Linked DNA regions of Drosophila melanogaster. The protein of the gene in region 2 interacts with the protein of the main gene of each other region in a pairwise test. Each region holds a gene or a part of one and is shown on either strand. Other genes may lie near its edges.

Region 1 (8,842 bases), on a different chromosome or scaffold from region 2:
CCCATCGCCGCACTCGTAAGTGAATACGGATGCCGTTCGTGGGTGTGGGAGCCTGAAAATGCTACAAATTGATAGATCCGCTGGCACATTGGCAACAACAGCCAGTAGCAGCCAATTGCCAACTATCTGTTTATTAGACCAAACATGGGCAAAGGCCTGGGTAAGTGCATTATGTGAAGACGAGATGGATGAGCTATGCGGATGCGGAATCATACTCTAAGCTTAAAGTACTCACTATCCACGATGGGTATAACATACGTAGGGATTTGCTCAAAACGGGTAAGAAAAAGGATTAACTTAAAATATATGAAATAATATTCGGTCCAGCGGTATTTTCAAAAGAGCGTGTTCAAGTAAGCCTGATATCCTTTGGGGATAATCTCTTTAAGTACCAGTAGGCTGGTAATAGGCCTTTGCGGCTCTTTTGATCAAACTTCCACCACCACTCACCACTTTCATTAATACCCATTTGCTGTGAGTGGCCCTATGCATCATTCACAATTAAATCTGATTAGAGAGTTAGCGGGTCCATCAGGTTCAATCAAAACTGGCATGCCTGGTGGACCATTTACAGTGGGACAATGCCGGCGTGCTGGGCTAAATGGCAAAACTGACTGCCTGTCGCCGTTTTCCGCCCCACGACAGCCGGGTTTTTCCCATTCCATTCCCATACCATGGCTAATAGCCTTCAACTGATGGCGGGCAGTTCCACCATTAGGCCGGGTTGGGGATGGGGAAAACTTCTGTCGCTGGAAAACGGCAGTCGGTGAGAGGACATGGACATCCGCTCAGGTTGAGGCATCGACATGCTAATAGCTTTGAACTTTTTGCAAATTGCAGGCAGTGCAACCCACCCATCGCCTTTTTGCCACTGGTATTGCAGTAGCAAGTGCAACTGCATTTGCGTTGGACTGTTAATTACCGTTATTGAACTTGTTTGATTGGCACAAGTTGGAAAAGTTGGGCGCACCAAGGCAAACGCTGACCGCCGTTGAGCAGCCACGTTTACCCATGGAAATCGGATTTCCCGGCCGGATGTATGTTTGCATGGGTGTGTGGGTGATGCCACTGCCACTAGGAAACTGCCCCACCTGCCACATGCAATGCAAATAAAGGCAACGTGCCAGCCAGCCACTTGGATAATATTTCCTGCAATTAACAAGCTTTTACCTTTTTCCTTTGCCAATAATATGATACTCCTTCCTTTTATACACCTGCAGTAGTATCGCATTTCATTAAGCAATAAATAAATTTATTTGCATTCGCACAACATATCCAGGATATATAATATTTACGCCCAACAAGTCAACCATGCGAGGAGGTTAAACTTTGTGGATTTCCCTATAAGAGAATTCAAGGCATGAATATTAATTCGAAATTAGATTTACATTTCTCCAACTTGTTCGGCTACCAAAAAAGAGAAGCAAAACAAAGTGCAGCGGAACCGGAAATGCATTCAACGCCGCCTTTCAATTGACATGCTCTGGGTCGATCTGGGCAAAACAAGATGGCGGACCTCGTCCTTGTTGTCCTTGTCATCGCTGCGCTTTTCCCCACTGTCATCGCCATGCGGACATGTGTGATTGTGTGCGATTGCCACGTTGTTTTCGTTGATTTTCCCACTTGGCTTCGCCTGCCATATGGCTAACGCGTTTGGGGCAGGGCTCTCTGGCATCCTGCTCCTTCTTCGGCTTCTTCGGATGCTAAAGTTGACTTTTTACTGATTTGAACTGCAAACTTTCGCCATAGTTTAGTAGTGGTGGTTGTTGTTCTTTTTTCACAGCCACGGAGGGATTTATGGGCGCTCAAAGTGCTTCTCGGTTCTCAGCTACCAACTCTCGAATCTCGCTTGGGTGTGAAGTAAAAACTTTGTCCTTCCGTAAGTAGGAGAATTTATATATGAATAAAGGTGCATATATACGTGTATATACGTATATATGCATGTATAGATACGTGGCACATGAGTGGGTAAACGGACACTTGAACATAAACTTATACGAGTCAGTGTGTAATCAGTTGTAAGCCAACTGTAATGCCAGCAGATGATATCGATTCAATTTTCAGTTCTTTCGGGGAGTGAATCTTGTTAAGTGGTCAATTCATTAATATTGGCTCCAGCTTGTTGACTACGAACTGCAAAAAATGTGTGTTTAATCCCGAAAAATAGCGCTGCCAGAGGATTTATATCAGTTGGGAATGCAAAGTAAAGCAACTGTCAACTGGGGCTAAGTTATGTCCAATTCGTTGGAGGGAAATTGAGGAGAAGACTCGCTTGGCTTTGTCGATGGCAATTGCAATTGAATCCGAGCAGCGAAAGGATTTTGTGTGGGTTCTTCGAATGCAAATTTCGACAATTTATTGCCAACCCATTTTGTTAATTTATTGTCCTTGCATTAGTTGTACGCCCACTTTAGCAAACAGATGCGTTTAATATAGGGCAGACGTTATCTTAAGATATCTCCTTAACTGCAATGCCTCACCATCTCGAGCTCTCGATGATGTAATCCAAAATGTTATCGCTTGAATCAACCCAACGTCAGTCAGGCTCGTGTGGAAAACTTAGTTTTCCCAAACGTAAGCTTAATACATTTTGCCAGCACGAACTCAATTTCTTTTTCACATTGCCTTTTTTTCGCTTTCACTTTGCTTCAATTTATAAAATTGAATATTGGTGGCGAAACTCGATTTGTCCACACACGACCACGCCCACAGAGGCGGGACGATTGGCATTGGTAAGGACGAAAAGGACCTGCCGCTTTCTTGTATGCGTTGCGTAAGTTGGTAAATAATCTACAGCTACTTACACGGAAACCTAAAGGCACTGGGATGAAGCAACCACTTTAAATTGTTTTGAAAGATTAAGGACTTACTCTCATTTTTTCCATTTAAAGCGCTGGCAAAGTCTTGGATTATTGGATTATTTTGGCACCTAGGTGAATTATCCTTCAGTCTTCTAAATATGTAGCGAATGAGACAGCACAAGTTCATCGACTTTCGTGAAACTAAATTTATTGTTTTACTGTTAAAACGCTTAGTGCATTTGCCTGCAATGCCTGCCAATTGCTTCATCTCGAAAACCCCACCACCCACATGCAAATGCCTTGGCACTTAGTTTATTTCATTAGACACACACATGTGTTTTCTACCCTGTGTGTATATGTGTGGGTGTGGTGCATAAAAATTGTCATTTTCCCAGCGATTTTTATAGAGCCCCATGCTCTTATCGCCACCCCATTTTTCTGTTTTCACCATCACTCTCTGCTGAATGCCGTTGACAGCTTTACGTTTTGTGGGACGCACAGTGACTTACATAAGTACAGCGCTACACACGCACACAACTGCTCCTTTGTGTGTCATTTAGCTTTTGTCTCACGCGTGCCAAGTTTCCCCGCTCCCGACCGCCTCTACCATCCGAATTTTCCCCATTTTCCAACTTGTTTGTGCTCTTAATTTTCTTGCCAAGTTTGCAGTTTTCGCAACGTTTTTATATGATTTTTATACAAACGTGATATATTTCTCTGATGCGCCCGTTTCGCTCAATTTTTATTAACGCAGCAACGCCCCATGTGTGTGTGTGTGTGTGTGTGTGTGTGTGTGTGTGTGTGTGTGTGTGTGTGTGTGTGTGTGTGTGTGTGTGTGCGTGTGTGTTGTCACTCTTTGTCCTTCGTCCTTTGTTCTGGCTTATTCAATTTCACTTATTGATTTCCCTGCTTATCTGGCATCTATGTATGTATGTGCGCCAGGGGGAATGTAATCACAAGAACCCTACTTTTGCCAGATAAACGCAAACTGACGGGCATGGACGGCCATGTGTCGGTCCACTCTGTTCCAGAACTCCATAATGATGCCGCTGTCCGAATGGCGCTCGGTGGGCGAGAGAGCCAGTGAGTGCACCTGCAGCTTGGTCAGCTCCGGGCACATCGGCGTATTCCTAAAGTGCAGATGGAAGGCGCAGACCTTGTGGAAGATGGCGGCGGGGTCAGCGCCATCCGGCCAGCCCTTGAATTGCCACTTGGGTCCCATGGCGAACACGGCGACCACCCGATCCCATTCGACGGGTGTTAGGTTGGTCACGTTGTCGATGACCCGGTAGCTAACAAGCTCGTTCTGAAATTTGCATTTCATAAAGGTAATTAATCTATCGATCAGGCATGCACTTATTAGAAATTCTAACAACCAATACCAAGGCATATACAGCTAGCCATAACTATTAGCGAAGCACTTAGAATGAAAAATTCCTTATTCTCCACCGCATCAGTGGAATAAGTAGAAGAGCGAAGAGAAGCGTACTTAGTAACTCTGTAAATTTACAAACTTCAAGCTACTATAGTTTTTTAACCCACCTGAAATCGATGCTCGACTATGACCTCCTTGGGCCGACACTCAGGAGGGTTAGACTGCCGGCCGTTACGCTCTGGCTCGTAGTGCAACTCCTCGAGCAGTGTCTTGATATTGTTCAGGCTGATCATGCTGGTCATTGCATCCGGAACCACAATGATGGGCATTCGTGCGTAAAGCTTCGATGAGCGACGATCCTTGCTGTTGCTTCTCGACCTTTCAATGCTTTCCCTACTCACAGATCGGTTGCGCTTGTCCTTTTGACTTTCGTGAAAAGTCGCGCAATTCTCCAAGTTGCTGCCCTGCGGATTTATGCCGAACTCTTGCTGTGCCTTGAGGAATTTCTCCTGGCCATAGCGATTGTACTTGGTCTTTGGCCAAGGCGGCTCTGTCATGATCTCCGGCGGGGGCGGCATTTCCAGCTGTGATAATTCCGGCACCGTAGAGTCCAAGCTACGCATCATGGAATGGTGAGCCAGTTTGAGGTATTCCTGAGCAGTCGTCATCTCCTTCTCGCCCAGCAGCTGCTCCTCGAAAACGCGGCACGGTCGCTCCCGCTTCATGGCCCGCCTGCCCAGTTCCTTTTGCATGTTATCCAAATTACGACCCTTCTCCCGCTCCTGGGCCCTCATCTGCATGGCGTTCTTATCGACGCTCTGCTTCATCGCCAAGCGCTTGGCCTTGATGATTGCGATGGCCTCCACGGTCATGGTCTCGGTAAGGGTCTTTAGAATAGGATCCATTTCGGTTGTTTTTCACGCTTGATTCGCACACTCAAATTTGAGCTTGTTAAAATTTATATATTTTTTTTTTTAACGATACGCACTCCGATTCTGACAACACCTTGCAGCAAATGATTTTATGACTAAAACTTGATACGATTAAAAGTTCAGAGCCAACTATTTTCGATTGCCATATACTATTAGTATGACCGTGTTGCTCGATAAATGAAATGCTGTCAAATTCTATGAATTCAAATTGCCAAATTGCTCCTTGTTATGAGTTTCACTGTACAAACTCGATTTTTCTTGGCTCACCTCCTTTGTTGGCACATAAAAAACTCATAAATATTCAAACTTTCTCGCTGCCATCGTTTATTTTTTGTCAAAGCCATTATTTATTTTTATTACATTGCCTTGGTCAGTTGTTCGTCCCGCTCCTCTTCGTTCCTATTTATATATTTTTTTTTTATTTTTCCGCCCCGAGTTGTTTTTATTTGTAAGCTATTTTTATTTGACAAAGTTTCACCCTCACCCACGTCCTGGTAAAAGCATGGCAAAAGGAATTGTCCCGGCTTTATGTTATTGACTTTAATAACATTTTAGCTGCAAGGCATGAAAATATTTTTATAAATTTTGTTTCTGTTTTCCTCCGCTCGGCTGTTTCTTGCATTTTTCCACAGCATCGCTTTGTTTTGCCGCCGAAGCCTGAAATTGATTTCTGCAATAGGGGTGATGGGGAGGTGGAGGACACTCGTGTTCCCATCATAATTTATGCATCCATCGAGTCAGCCAGTCTTCCAGCCAGCGAGCCAGCTAGCCTCAAAAGCTATTAGCTGGCTGGATTCCCCAGTTATCGCAGCTATATATGTATTTATGTATGTGTATATGGCCCGAAGGGGTTGCCCGTAATTGCTAAAGCGAAATTTCATTACCAAAAACGAAAACGAGCGGGTGGCATTGTAGACGGGTTTCGTTTCGCGTGTGATAAATACCGTGAAAGGTCGCCGCCATTGCCATCGCCATCGCCATCGCCATCGCAGCTTGGGAAATGAAATTTTCATCCAGACTCTTGTGGCAGCCATTTTGTCGCTGGCGCTGCACTAGAAAATGTCTGAATGGCGGATTGGCGGCTGCGGCAGCGGCATCGTTGTCGCCATTTTTGTTTATGGCCGCATTTGTCACAGCAAATTGTATTGCCAACTGGCGGGGCCTTGCCTTTTCCCGGCATATTTTCCATTTTTTTTCGGCGCGGCCGCGTTAAGAATGCGGCATAAAAAACGCGATGAACCGAAAGGCTCACCTTACGTCTACGGCCTTTTGGCGTGTTAATTAAACCGACGGGAATGGCCGGGATGATCTGATTGCTCATTCGGCTCAGCACTAATTAAGTTTATAGCATTATGGCGAAAAAAAAAATACATTATGGTATGGGCGGTATTTGAACGACAGGCACATTTTTCGGATTTATATTTCATGTAGCGAGAGGGAAGCTTTAAAAAAAGCGACCAGAATGACCAGAAAAAACCCGAAAACAATGCGGAAAATTGAAATTGAAAAGAATGGCTTACTGACATAGATAGGGAATGCCCTTTTTAGAATTTCCATTCACAATTCTTTTTTGCAAAGAATCAGCGGAGCGAACACGAGATGCGAGTGCATAACTTCAAATTTAATCAGAGAAGAATGCGACCACGCATAGACCATCTGCCAGCGGGGAAATGAAATCATCGCTGGCCAGCGATTTGCACCCAACTGCATGGAATCGCATCAAAGCAAGGAAAAGCCGGCAGAAGGGAAATGGGAAAAAGTGAGTTTCACTCGCCTTCGGCGATCGCCCCACCCAACATCCCAACTGGCAACTAATTTCGCCTCAGTGACAAGACAAGGCCATCAAAAATTCCCCTCCCGAACGAACCAGGGCCAATTATTGTTTGCGGCTCCCTCGTTTTAATACGTAGCCGCAGCGTTGGCCCGTTTACGGCACACGACCCTCGGCGGACGAGCAGGCTGCGAGAGAAGGGAAAAACAATTTTGTCAGCTTATAAACAGTAAAAATAAAATGCCGGACTAAACAAATACGAGGACCAACAGCATAACTATAAAGCGCCATTGAGACACAAACACATGCAAGCGCACACACAAGACAACCAGGTTCACATGCATTTAGTGTGTACACAGAGCAAAAAAAATACATAAGCAACATAATAAAGGCAGTCTCTTTATTCTTTTTTCTGCATGCAAATTATAATCCCTTATCTTCCACAAATAAAGTCAAGTATTTAATATAATAAGTTTTAATATAAATAGTTGATATAGAAGTGTCTCCGTCATTTCTCCCTGTGCTCATATGTTTGCTTGGCTCCTTCCCAAGGCTGAGACTTTATTACTTTCCTTGGCGAATTATTTCCATTATGTTTTCGCATTCGGAGCAGATTCATGTGCTCAAGCCAGGCCAGGACAATTTAATGGAAATGAGATTGGCTTCGGCTGAAGGTGCAATGAAGCCGTACGATGGAGAATGGAAATACGCCTGTTAAGTGGGCAAATAATGTCGGCACTGCTGATCAATTTCAGTGACCCCCTTTTTGTCCTTTGTCAGCAAAGGACCCCGAGTTCCGATCAAGTTGTTTCCCACGGCGAATACCGACCAAGTCGGGAGGACTTGAAATGTGAGTGACAGGCTGCACGGCGTATATGAACTGGATGTCTGTTTGTGTGCTTGATTGTGCTGGGGTTCACTCACACACATACCTCATATGCTGGAGCACAGAGTCCGCCAACCTTTTCAAAGTTTTTCGAAAAAAAAAAGGGAAAACATCTCGACTACTGCAGCCGCAGTTGCAATCTGTATCAAGTTTCTAGTATCTTTCAGTTGGCATTGCCGGCGTGTCCACTTGGATGTCTCTCCATCATGTTTGCACATTTTGATGGCTGTTTGATGTGCAACAGTTGCACTTCAAGTGGCCAGTTGCTGCCTGTCATCTCGCTTTGCGAAAGCGAAATATCAAGCATTCGCCATGTGGTCCAACTCTTTGCACTTCCGCCCGCAGGGGCCACTTGGCCAGAGAGAAACTTTTTTATTCAATTTGATTTTCTTCAACTGCAAGCAGCTGTTGCAACTTCCCCACAAAATTGAATCCGAGAACGGATGCCAGCACACGAAATTAAGCGGAAACTCTGAAATTTATTTTACCATGGGTTATGACAGAACATTTATATCGATTTTCTAAAGCGCTGGAATATCACCAGCTTTAATCATCTGACTTTATAAGTGGGGCACACGTGTATGCATTCTTCCCAGGGACTTTTCCATTAAGCCAGAGCTGAGTTGAGTCTTTCCTTTCAACAGAACTTGTTCAGGCAATCAACGAGTCAACCTTGACGAGCAGCTGCAACTTCACGCACTCAGAAAAAATGTTTTATTCACTTAAAAAAAAAAAATTACCAGCTAACATCATATGAATGGTTGAGGTTAGTGCACACTTTAAATGCTGAAGTGAATTGCTACCCTGAAAAGTGTATACATTTCTGTCATATTAAACATAAAATATGCCAATTGAGGTATGAGCTATGATAACTTTCTTAGTTATAAGTTGGTTTTTCCTGCGAGTGTCCCTATGACTCACAGTTTAGCATGACATTTGCAGGCTGACAGGAAGTGCACTTCAAACGGAAATTGCGACACACATATTGCCAGCTTCCTTTGACTCGACTCGTTTCGTTTCGCTCTTTAACAATATGCGCACGTATGCTAATGCCGATGTATCTCTCGCTTCCCCTAA
Region 2 (12,264 bases):
GGCGACTGTAATGGCAATGCAGGCAATGATCTCCAGCCGAATCCAGCTAAAAAGAAAGCAGGAGTGGATGTCATCCAAAGCTGGCAGGCGGATGAGCCTAAGCTGGGATTGGTTGAAGAGTGTCTAAGTGAGGATGTGCCCAAGGAGCACTGCATACCCCTACCGCCAGAGAAGGATCCCTGTTTGCAGTTCTACAATGCTGAATTATTTGGCAAGTGTCCTTTGGCTGTGGATCCCATTGCCTATGTCTCCGCCTGTCAGCAGGACATCTGCAAGCCCGGAAACACCCAGCAAGGAGTCTGCGTGGCTCTGGCCGCTTATGCCAAGGAGTGTAACCAGCACGGCATATGCACCAATTGGAGAAGACCGCAACTGTGTCCCTACGAATGTCCCAGCGATATGGTTTACGAGCCATGCGGCTGTGCTAAGAATTGCGATACCATCAAGGCATTATCCGAATTTGATGCAGTGAGCCTTAAAAACGAGGCTGTAGTTCATACCGTTAAGACTGATGAAATGTGTTTGAGTTCGGAGCGATTCGAGGGCTGCTTCTGTCCTCCTGGAAAGGTAATGGATGGTGGACAGTGTGTGCCCGAAATAGCCTGCACAAAGTGCGATGATGGACTCCACTTGCCTGACGAGAAATGGAAGAAGGATAAGTGCACCGAATGTCAGTGTGATTCTAAAGGAAAGACCACGTGTGTGGAAAAGAAGTGCCAGGTGGAGGAAAATATCTGCGCCGAAGGCTATAGACCTGAGACCATAGTCAGCGTGGATGAATGCTGTCCTAGATATCGATGTGTCCCGGAGACGAAGGACCCATCCAAACTGTGCCTTGCTCCTCTAGTGCCCATTTGCGGTCCTGGACAATTTAAAAAGGAAAAGAAGGATGTCAATGGTTGTTCGCAGTACATATGCGGTAAGGCTTTATAGCTCCCCTATATATACAGTGTTTATTTAACCATAATATTCCTCAGAGTGCATACCGAAGGACCAGTGCGAAATAATTGAGCTGCGGGAGCTGCTTCCAGGCGAGATCATTGTGAATGTAGAAGAAGGCTGCTGCCCCACTCAGAAGATTGAGTGTAAGCCGGAGACTTGCCCCAAGGCGCCTGTTAACTGTCAAGAACGATTCTACGAAGTAAAGACCATCAAGGAGCCAGGAATGTGCTGCTCCAAGCACTCATGTGGTAGGGCAAATATCCTCGTTATTGAAAATTCGCTTTTAAAAAATACTCACTTCACTTTCAGTACCTCCCAAGGATCTGTGCATTGTTCAGTATGAGCTCGACGAAGCCACAAAGTTCACCAAGACAGTGGGTGATAAGTGGACCCATGCCAAGGAGGTTTGCAAGCAGGAGACATGTTCCTATGGTCCGGATGGCAATGCCCAGGTTGTCAGCACTTTGGAACAGTGTCTCACTGACTGCGCCCCAGGATTCAGCTACCAGAACTTGGACAAAACCAAATGCTGTGGCAAGTGTGTCCAGACTTCGTGCATCTTTGAGCAAAAACTATACGAAGTCAACGCACTTTGGAAGTCGGCGGACAATTGCACTACCTACAGTTGCCTGAAGAAGGATGGCCAATTTTTGGTTACCACCTCGAGAGAAGTATGTCCGGATGTGGGTAGTTGCCTATCCCACCTGTTGTACCAAGATGGCTGCTGCAAACGATGCAAGTCGGAACCATTGGTGGAGGACAAATGTGAGTAAAGTCCTAGATCCCAGGTCCGGACCGTCTTAATTCCTTGTTCTTTGTAGCATCTTGTTTACCCGTTTCCTTGGCCGAGTCGCGTACGAAGGAGATTCTCAAGTTCCCTGTGCAAGGACATGGAACATGTGTGAATGCCGATCCCATTCAGGGCTTCACCGACTGCGAGGGTGCCTGCTCCTCTGGTTCCAAGTACAATACACTCACGGACATGCACGAGAAGTTCTGTACTTGCTGCAGCATAAAATCCTATCATCCGATTTCCGTGAAAATGATTTGCGATGATGGTCACACATTTACACAGAAGGTTTGTCACATTTTCTATTTAATTCCCATTAAGTATTTAATGATATACTTATTCCAGCACGAGGTGCCCTCCAACTGCGGATGCTCGCCGTGCTCAGAGTTTTCGGACTCTGCAATCGATGTGCGAATGCAGCAGGATGCGCAGTCTCCACTACTCCAATTACTCGGCAACCATAGACATTAATAACTTATTGGTTGTCTGAGAAAGTCATTTCGTTAGTTTTAAGAATGTCGAGCATAAAAATAAAATTTTTAAAAAAATTAAAGTAGTTTGTATTTGATTTGCTATAAGATGTTTTTATTCACACAACAAAACTCTACTTGTAACTCAACGTTAGCCGCATCAAACATTTGCATACTCATCGGGGTTTTTATATACACATACACCCAGAAAAGGTAGAATATTCTACAAATATTCTACATTTTGCTTACATCTATCATATTTGCAAGTAATCGTTTATAAAATTAGGCGGATCAACGTGATCAGTAAAGTCTCACCCCTCTTGACAAGCAAAACAGTATTTACCAAAAATTAAATGTTGTGTCGAGAAATCGCACAGAAGTTTCGAATTTCATAATTGACATTTACGTGAAAAAAACATTGTAGTTATACAAAATATACGTAACATTTTAACAACATTTGTAACATATACTAAATATATTCATAAATTCATATATACATGATGTTGGGGATATAACAATTCAAGAAATTCGTTCTGGGCTCCCTACGTTTCTAGATACTAGAAGATAATTGGCGAAGAGGATAATGATTATACAGCGTAAAAATATAAATGTAGATTACAGATAAGTGGGTCTAATTCTAAGCAAATAAACATGTTGATACTACAGCTAAAAAATGGAAATTTTGCGAATTACTTCTAATTTTTTATGGGAACAGCGGACATGGGGATCATGGAATAATTTAAATATCCTTGGTGGCTAAAGCTATTTTGTGCCCGGGCGAAGAGACGTTGTTGGTGGTGGCATTGGCCAACCAGCAGGCACTGCCTCAGACGGACTTGATAAGGCGATCCTGCCGCTCGAAGAGTTTCGTCTTGTTGGCCAGTGTCTCAGTGGCTGTTGCAATGACACCACTGGTAGCAGCCATGGCGGCTGATGTGGCACTGGCCAGCCGCTCCTGCATCACGGCGGTCAAGCACTCCCGGAATCCCAGCAGGAATTCATCTGCATTCTCCCGGTTGAAGCACATGGGTGGCTTTAGCTTGATCACGTTATCGTTGGGACCGTCGGAGGAAACGAGCACCCGGTGGAGCTGCTTCATCCGGTTGACCACCCAGTGGGCAGCCTTCTTGTCGGGAATACGCTCCTTCCGATCCTGGACCAGCTCTATGCCCACGAAGAGTCCAGCGCCTCGCACATCGCCAATGCACTCGAATTCTTGCTTCAGACGATTGCACTCCTCCAAAAGATAATCGCCCAAAACAAGAGCCTTCTGTTGCAGACCCTCCTCCTCGATAACGCGCATCACTGCATTGGCGATCGCACAGGAGACCGGATTGCCGCCATAAGTGTTAAAGTAAGCAACTCCGGTGGCATGGAAGGCCTGAGCGATTTCCGGAGTGGTAACTACCGCACCCACCGGATGTCCATTGCCCATGGGCTTGGCCACACACACAATATCGGGGATTACGTTTTGGGTCTCGAATGCCCAATAGTGGCTGCCCACGCGTCCAAATCCCACCTGAACCTCGTCAGCAATGCAAACGCCTCCGGCAGAGCGTACCGCATCGTAGACTGCCTGGAAGTATCCGGCTGGTGGCAAAATCTGTCCACCGCAACTCTGCAGACTCTCGGCAATGAAGGCGGCGACGCCCTGTCCTTTGGCCAACTGCTTCTGGCAGATCTCCTCGATGGGCTGAGCATACAGGGCACCCATGTCAGCATCCGGATACATCTTGTCCGTAAACTTTCCGCCATAAACGTCCGGGCACGGCGCCACATGCACGTAGTCGGGCTTGGCCTCGCCGCCGGGCTGGTTAAATTTGTATGGAGACACCTCCATCACCGACTGCAGATGACCATGATAGGCACTGTAACGAAATAAAAGAAATTAGCATATTTTTCCATAGGTGTTCAAAATAAATATTAAGCAAGCCAAAATCATTTTTTCAAGCAAATTTAATCTCTAGAATCAAACAGAAGAAACTTACTGGTCGAGAGTGATAACATCCTGACGCTTAGTAAAGTTGCGGGCCAATCGAAGGGCCAGGTCATTGGCCTCGGATCCGGAATTGACGAAGAAGCAAACGGACAGAGGCTCCGGCATTTTGCTGGTCAACGTGCGAGCACACTGGACCAGTTCGTCGTGGAGGAAGCGGTTGTTCGTCGAGATGGTGGCCATCTGCAGGGCTCCAGCTCGCACCACCTCCGGATGGCAATGACCCACTGCAAAGATTGAGGTCAAATTTATAATTATTGTATAGTTTTTAAATAAATATATTTAAATTGTTAGCAAGTATTAATAAAAGTAAAATAGATAACCATATTGTATAACTGAATACCAGGCACCCTCTTTAACTAATCAAATTGCTAACTCACGATGGAGAAATAAACCCAAAAATAAAGCTTTCAATTAGCGCTACTGACCCAACGAGATTATTAGATCAAATTTATAGATAGATCAACCCAATAGTGATAAGCTTGTACTGAGGGTGTGGCTAAAATTAGGCAAGTCGCGCACGTGATTTTCCCCTAACCACTTGCTTGCCCGATCGTTTGTGCAGCGCTTCACATATAAGCAGGGCAATCTGCCACGATACCGAAAATAAAACGCTTTCAGACAGGCCCGGATCCATTGGGCTCGGCGTCGCCATCCGTAAGTGTATCGCTATTCCGTAGGCGCCGACGGATGGGCGATAAGCCCCGGGACCCGGACCACTCCGCTCCCGTCGACGGCGACAGATTGCGACGTTTGGGGGTCAACTACTCGTTCCGATTGCGTTTCTAATTTCGTCTCGTACTCGCATTAGAATCATTTGGACTTGGACTCACACACGCCCCCGATAAGACGTAGTGTTCTGCGAGGCAGGTATCACGTGAAGTTCACGCGATGCCTTCACGTTTCTAGTTTCCATATCAGTGGTATGAAATTAAATGGTGTATAATAGACTGACTGTTTCTGTTTCATACGCTTGCTGATTAGGTTTGGAATGATCGAAATGACCATGGGGGAATCTCTGCACTTTGGTTTTTAATTATGTCGAGGGAATAGAAGTACAGTTATGCTGGGAAAAACTAGCATTTTTAGAAACTGTTTTGAAAGAGCGTTACTAAGCATATCTCAATGTGTATTCAAATAACTTCATCACTAGCTATATTGAAAAACTTCAGTTAGGGCTCGTTCTAGATCGTATACTTTAAGTGATGAATATTATTAATATGCTCTTCATCTTCTATAATTCATAACAAGCCCACCCACTTGTTTTCCTCTTTCGCGATCAGCAAATTTTCTTAGTTTTTCGCGACATTGTCGACAATCTACAAGTGGTCGCTATGACATGCTTACACTTCCACTTGCTCTTCTCTTTATATCGCCTGTTTGTACGACTTTTCACAGCCCGCAGGCCCATGGCTCGGGGTGTTTTTCCGACTATCTGCTCAGAATTTTCCACTCGCAATGTGTGCTGAGTGGCACAGCTGATTGCTCAGATCTCGTGGGGTTGGGGCACTACGAGCACAAATATTGAAAAACTAGACTACGTACGGACATATGGGCTGCACGACTGTACGCCTTGTGTGCTCACCCCGGGGCAGCCCCGCCCCCTTTTTTCGTACTGTGCCCGACCGCCTATCTCGAGTACATTTCCACTCGCACGAGACGTTCACATGTTGCGGCCTGTTGGACACCCGGAGTGGAAAAAGTAGCACGAGATTACGAGGAACGTGGTTTCTAGTTTCATAACAACTTGTTATTCAGATCGTCAGATCGTCCACACGTGCCCCCGCCACCTTATCATGGTTATAGTGCTACATGTTTGCTTGAGGACTGATTTCACACTTTGTTATTGATGACTTATGGGCATAGCCGTAAGTTACGTGCCTCTGCACGGACCCAATATTACGTTCTGAATGTGAAAGGGCTAACTATCAGTCGTATGAAGATCGTAAGACTTGTTCCGAGGTTGATTGAGTTTTGCGATCGTCTACGAAATGTGCAACCGTCTAAGTGGGTCATTAAATGGGGGAGCACTATAAATAATCCCAATATCCATCACCAAGTTTTTGAAAGTGTTTTGATATAAAGGGACAACATCTATTGATTGATTTATTGATCAGTTGATGGTGCAAACACAATCAGTTGACTATCTCTGAACTGTAAACAGCTTTACCTTTTTGCACCCTTCGATGATAACCCTTATTGGAATATTGTTTTCGACCCTGTTGATGAGCCCCCTTAGGTGGCAATTAACCAAAAGGAAAGCTATTAATAAGCGCTACAGTCGACGTTATCAAATCTCATTGGGTTGTCAAATCTATTTCATCTATATTCAGTACATTCGCAATGCCAATGGCCTCATCTTATCAGTGCGGCAAGCGTTAATACAAAAGGAAAAACTAATTTTATAGAAGGGCAGCTTTTCAGAAATAGAAAGCCCTGAAAATAACTATTTATTACTATATATGTTTTAAGTATTATTTAAGGGCATGTAATATAACTTTACACATATAAAGTTATAATTAATAGTGATTTTAGGCTAGGAAAATTGCTGCCAACAAAACCTTGTAAATGGAAAATTTTCCGTAGCAGGAAGTGTTTTGGACAATTACAAACAAGACGCAAACAATGTGAGCTACCTAGATCCCAGAATCAGCAAATTGGCAAATTGGTTGCCGACGTCAATCTTCGTTGTTTTTTTGTTATTGTCGTTGGGCCACCGTTGTTGATAAGTTGATATGGTTTGGATGGTCTGGATTTGACTGGGACCCCCTCGGTGATATATATATACATATATATGTATGTGTACGTAATACGTATTGTATATTTTACGCAAATGCGGTCCCTGGCCATTTGTTATTATTGTGATTGTCTTGATGGCAGTGCTGTGTTAATCACTCATTCTATATCTATATATATCTAGTTGAGCACTCAACCTTGAACTTGCGTTGCCAAACGCTCCAAATAGCCGCAGTGCCACATGCACTTTGCATCCGTACATTGGCCATTTGACGGGCGTGTGCCACTGCTAATCAGCATAAACAGAAATAGGATCCGTCAACGACCAAGTGTCGACGTCCGGACGGGAGGTCCAAAATAATCGTCATCAGGCCCCGGTTCCAAAATCGCAAAACATGACCTAGCAACGTACTTAATGGCACCCCTACTTTATTATAACAATTTTTTATTGCAGAAATGGCGACGAAATTATCATTTTCTGCGCCCTACACCACCGTTTTCTTCATCTTTTCACCTAATTAACAATATTTTCGAGATGAATAATAGGATCTATTACATATAAGAGCTGGTTTTTTGATCTATTGATCTTACGCATTCTGTAGTCCTACAAATTTTTACATATTTTTCAAATTTAGTTTTGATAGATTGACTTACCGTGGGCTACATTGTTGATGCAGTCCAGATACCGGGTGCCCTCCTCATCAAACATATATTGACCTTGACCGCGCACAATTTTCAGGGGATCAGAGCGATAGAAGAGCTGGCAGGCTTGTCTGCAGAAAAAAATGCAAGTTATTAAGTAGGTTAATTAGGTGGATGGCAAAGTTGCTAGCTAAGCTAAGTGAAGTCATAAAATCCAGACAATGTAAAAGGCAAAGACGTATATGTGACGATAGTTATACTATTAACCGGGGCCTATTTCAACAGTTCACAAATATACGACAGAGTAGTGAGTAGTACTCATTATCACCAAGATAATCACTGTTCCCACTGCCGTGTTTAATGGTTATTGTGTTTGTGTTTGTTAGACAAAAACAAGGCGTCTTGCTGTGTTTGATAAACATTTTAGGGTTGACTTTAGGCAAACAAAGAGAGCGGGAACGCAGCTGCTAACAATTTAATGGGGACAAAAAATGCACTTTGATCCGAACTGCATCCTAACCATTTGAAAATCATAATTATTAGCTACTTGAATTTAGCCTGATCCATATTTAGTTTAATATGGTAAATCAATAATTGTTCGCCAATAATTTGGAAACATGAAAGTGATAAAACCGAACTGACGTATTTTGTAAAAGTTCAGAGTCATAAAAAACAGGCCCCTTTTGTTTTCGAATTTCTCGATTTATTGCTAGCAATTTGTAATTCATTTCACAAGCTACCTAGCCTTTGTTCTTTTTTAAAATATTCCACAAAATGGAAAATTTGGATTGATATTTTTCAGTCAATTTAGATTACAATATATATGTAAGCGAGAACAAATGTGAAATGTATATTGAACGTGATTATCAAGTGCGAACACTCTGCCTAGCAGGCCCTTTGAATTTATTTTTATAAAATTTCCAAATTGGTTTTATAAATATTTTTATGCAGTCAGGCGATAAAAAATCAATATGGCCCAAATCTAAAAAAGCGCCGCTGTTGCACGACTTTTTTCCTGCTTTTTTTTGTGCACTTTTTTTGTTATATTATTTCCTTGGGTGGCGGTGGCGGCTGTTGGCAACAGTGCCAAAAATACAAAAGTACAAGAAAATCGGGCGGCCAGCCGTCCAATGCGAGCGAAAGAGAGGGCTGGCGATGAGTGGGCCGAGTGGGGGATGCCGCCTGACCTTGACAGCCAGAGCGAATTCAAGGCAAGGTCGCAGGCTCACGACCCGGACCAGGGATTACGAATACGAGCGAGGATAACGGCGTAAGGACCACGAAAGGAAGCCACTTACCCGATGTGCTGGTTGCGCAGCTTGATGGTCTCCGTTTTGCTCAGCTGCTCGCTGGCCACCAGATTCAGTTGCTCGTGGGCGAAAGGCATTTTTAAGATATATTTTGATTTTATTTTGTTTTTTTTTTTAACTCAGTTATTTAAAATCGGCAGAAAAGCGCGCACTTTTAGAACTGGCAAGTGACTTGATTTAAATTAGCTTTGAGCCGTGTGTTGAGACTGGAGTCCTGGCAGGATAATCGGTGCTCCTGGACAGTCGCTGGCAGGCACGGTCGCCTTTAACGTCTTGTTTGAAATTGTTGCCGAAGCAAGTTTCGTTCTCGCTTATAAACACACACAGCGGCATATCTTGCCATCTCTCTCTGCGAATTCGAACTCGCTCGCGCCTATCGATTTGTCGATTATTCATCGCATTAGAGTCCATTTGGGCGCGATAATTTGAATTATATAGTAATGGTAAATAAATAATAGTATAAAATTGTAATAGTAAATAAATACTAGTAGAAAATTGTAATAGTAAATAAATACTAGCAGTAAATTGCAATAGTAAATAAATACTAGTAGAAAATCGTAATAGTAAATAAATACTAGTAGTAAAATGTAATAGAAAATAAAATAGTTCGAAAATAAATCTATCATGGTACTTTTAGCTAGAATTGAAAGTTACATCTTTTATCCTCCATTAATAGACGAAAGTGTAGCCAGCGAATTCGAGTTTGATGTAGTTCCTAGAATCTAAAAGTATCTTTAAGTAATAGCCCCAAACAATCCAAAGCCACGCAGATCAGCGGTCGAAAATATCTATGTCGGTTATATAAAAAAACGTTTTCTTTTTATTTTTCTTTTGTTTTTTTTTTGCTGTTTTCTTTATGTATATGTAAATACCAAGGACAATATCATTTGTTTTTCACTTTGTTGTTTGCAATAATATAATTAATAATATAATATTAAATCAGCGCTTTTTGTGTTCATTTTCATTTCAATTTATGTATACCGTTATCTTTTGCTATGCTAATGCCTTAAATTGGTTTGTATTAATTTCGATAAATACAATTATTTTATTAATGTTTCAATAAATTTTTGAATTATTCTTTAAATGTTTAACTTTATATTTGTTCATTTATAATTGTTCTTTACAATATACACAACTGAAATACTTTTATTGGAATTGTTTATCATTAAACACTAAGCACTAGTTTAGCTCGATCTTTTGCGTTTATGCCTGGTGTTTTCTTTCCTAATTGTCATTTTGAATGGGATCGGAGAACAGAATAGAATGTAGGTACGTTTTTTGGTTTTTTTTTTCCAGGGGATTTTGTCTCGCAAGCAAAGCAAATTGGCTCTAAAAAGCAATGGAACAAATATCTAGGCATATAGAACTTGTACACTATCTATAAATATATGTTCTTTGGGTATGAGAATTTTCCTATGTACGATTTCTTTTGTTTTGCATTGTTTTGTGGTTCAGTGGTTCTTACGGTGCTTCGTCCTGCGTCCTTTTCAATAGCTTTCTCGATTCAAGGATGTATGATAAAAAATATAAAAGTGAGCATTGAATGTTTCCTTCTCTCTCTATATATGTAGTATATCTAGGTATAGTACAAGTTCGTGTTGAATTGTATGTGTTATAGTGTCTATATAGCAGATACAGATATATAACCATTTCTTGTTATGTACTAGGTGGCACAGTTTGTTTTTGTTGTAGTTGGTTGTTGGTTGTTTTTGTGGTCTGGTCTGAATTCATTAAAGGTTTTTGGGCATTTGATATATATTAGTTGGGGTTCTCATAATAAGGATCAACTGAAAAGCGAGACCTGGAAATCATAAGAGTTCTTTTGTTATCCGGTAATATACACAATCATACATTTTATATGTGATATATCGATATATCTACAAATTGGATTATCTCTGGTTAAAAGTCTAGCTCAATCTTAATCGTACAACAAGTTTGCTTCGGTTGAGGCTTTGCTATTCGGTAGTTTAGCTATCCATATTGACTATAACTAACAGCTATTGCTATTTACGATACGATAGTTCCGTGGTACATGGTTGTGGATCTATATGGTATGGTACATATACGTTTCTATATGGTATTTATAAGCTTTCATTTCTTTCCGTGTGATACGGTTTCTGTATGTTTTGGTTGAATGAGTTTAAATGCCGTTTACCCTTTCATTAGCATAGCATATAGATAGCCTTGTTGCTGTTTGTAATCATAGATATATATATAGTTCTATACATATTAATTCACATAAATGGTTTACTTCATCCGTGTGTGTTTTTTCATGTGGGGGGTATTGAAGTTGAAATTGAAATGGTTTTCTTCATTTTGCTTAAAATTGCTTCTCATTGTCGTTTACAATTTAGATATAGTTTAGCATACGTTTTATATTCGGTATATGTTTATATGTTGCTTGTATGCATGTATACGTTATATTAAATAGATATTTATCTGGTAGTTCTCAAAGTTTAAGATAAGCCTTCTCATCAAAATGTATCGCAATATACAAAGGCGTAAGTGCGTCCACAAGGCAATCCCCTTGATATTTTTCTTCACGCATGAACGTTGCAAAATGATTTCTTTTTGTTTCTATAAATTTTTGAAAATTTAACTTGAGTTTGGTTTTTTGTTCGATTTTCTTTTCTTTTCATTTCTTTTTTTTTTTTTGTGGTAAATTCACTAACAATAAGTAACAGCATAAGCTTCTTTGCTTGAATTTGGTTTTTAATTTTTAGTTTTAGCTAAAAAATGTACATAACTGATATTCAGTAAAGCGTTTAATTACATAATAGTCAACAAAAATACAAGTACAATACCTCATATAACGATTCAATTTCAATTGTAATAATTTTGTATATGTATTCAATTTCCACACAGACACATACATAAAGAGAGTTAATAAGAGAGAGTTAAGCAGAGAATTAGTTTTCCTTCTGGAGTTTTGAGATGATTAAAACAAGCCCAGCATAGAATCCATGCCCTATACATATCATTTAGACACAAAGTTAACTTTCTTGGGGACTTAGGTCGAACAAATTGCTCTTGTGACATGCAAAAGTTTCATTTCATAATCCAAACACTATCACACACAACAAACGAAATCAACAAATTTGGCGAAACGATTGACTGAACGACTGATTGACTGATTGAGTGAGTGGATGACAGATATAGGTAGATCGTTTAATCGAAAGTGAAGGATAGAGAGCGAAAAATACGTTGGTTTTTTGTTTTGTTTTTGATCTATAAAAAGGATTTTTTTCTTTGCTAATATTTTACACAATACGTATGAAGTTATAGTAAGCACTTGCTGGTTGTTCGTCGTGCCCGTTTAAAGTTGTTATATAATTTAATTTACTTGCTCGTGATCGCGCCCTGTCGGCTCGGCTCTTC

The links.
Region 1: the proteins of CG8745 (region 2) and CG6220 interact in a two-hybrid assay, tested with the Drosophila melanogaster proteins (one large-scale study listed by BioGRID).

Annotation. Positions count from the first base shown.
Region 1 is NT_033778.4:13,688,195-13,697,036, forward strand, and holds CG6220 (uncharacterized protein), read right to left. Parts: upstream 5,176-8,842; 5' UTR 5,082-5,175; coding exon 4,344-5,081; intron 4,108-4,343; coding exon 3,766-4,107; 3' UTR 3,513-3,765; downstream 1-3,512.
Region 2 is NT_037436.4:13,857,729-13,869,992, forward strand, and holds CG8745 (uncharacterized protein), read right to left. Parts: upstream 9,178-12,264; 5' UTR 8,964-9,177; coding exon 8,875-8,963; intron 7,708-8,874; coding exon 7,589-7,707; intron 4,426-7,588; coding exon 4,191-4,425; intron 4,071-4,190; coding exon 3,029-4,070; 3' UTR 2,299-3,028; downstream 1-2,298. Other genes in the region: Hml (hemolectin), read left to right, coding at 1-919, 978-1,190, 1,252-1,707, 1,764-2,020, 2,078-2,203.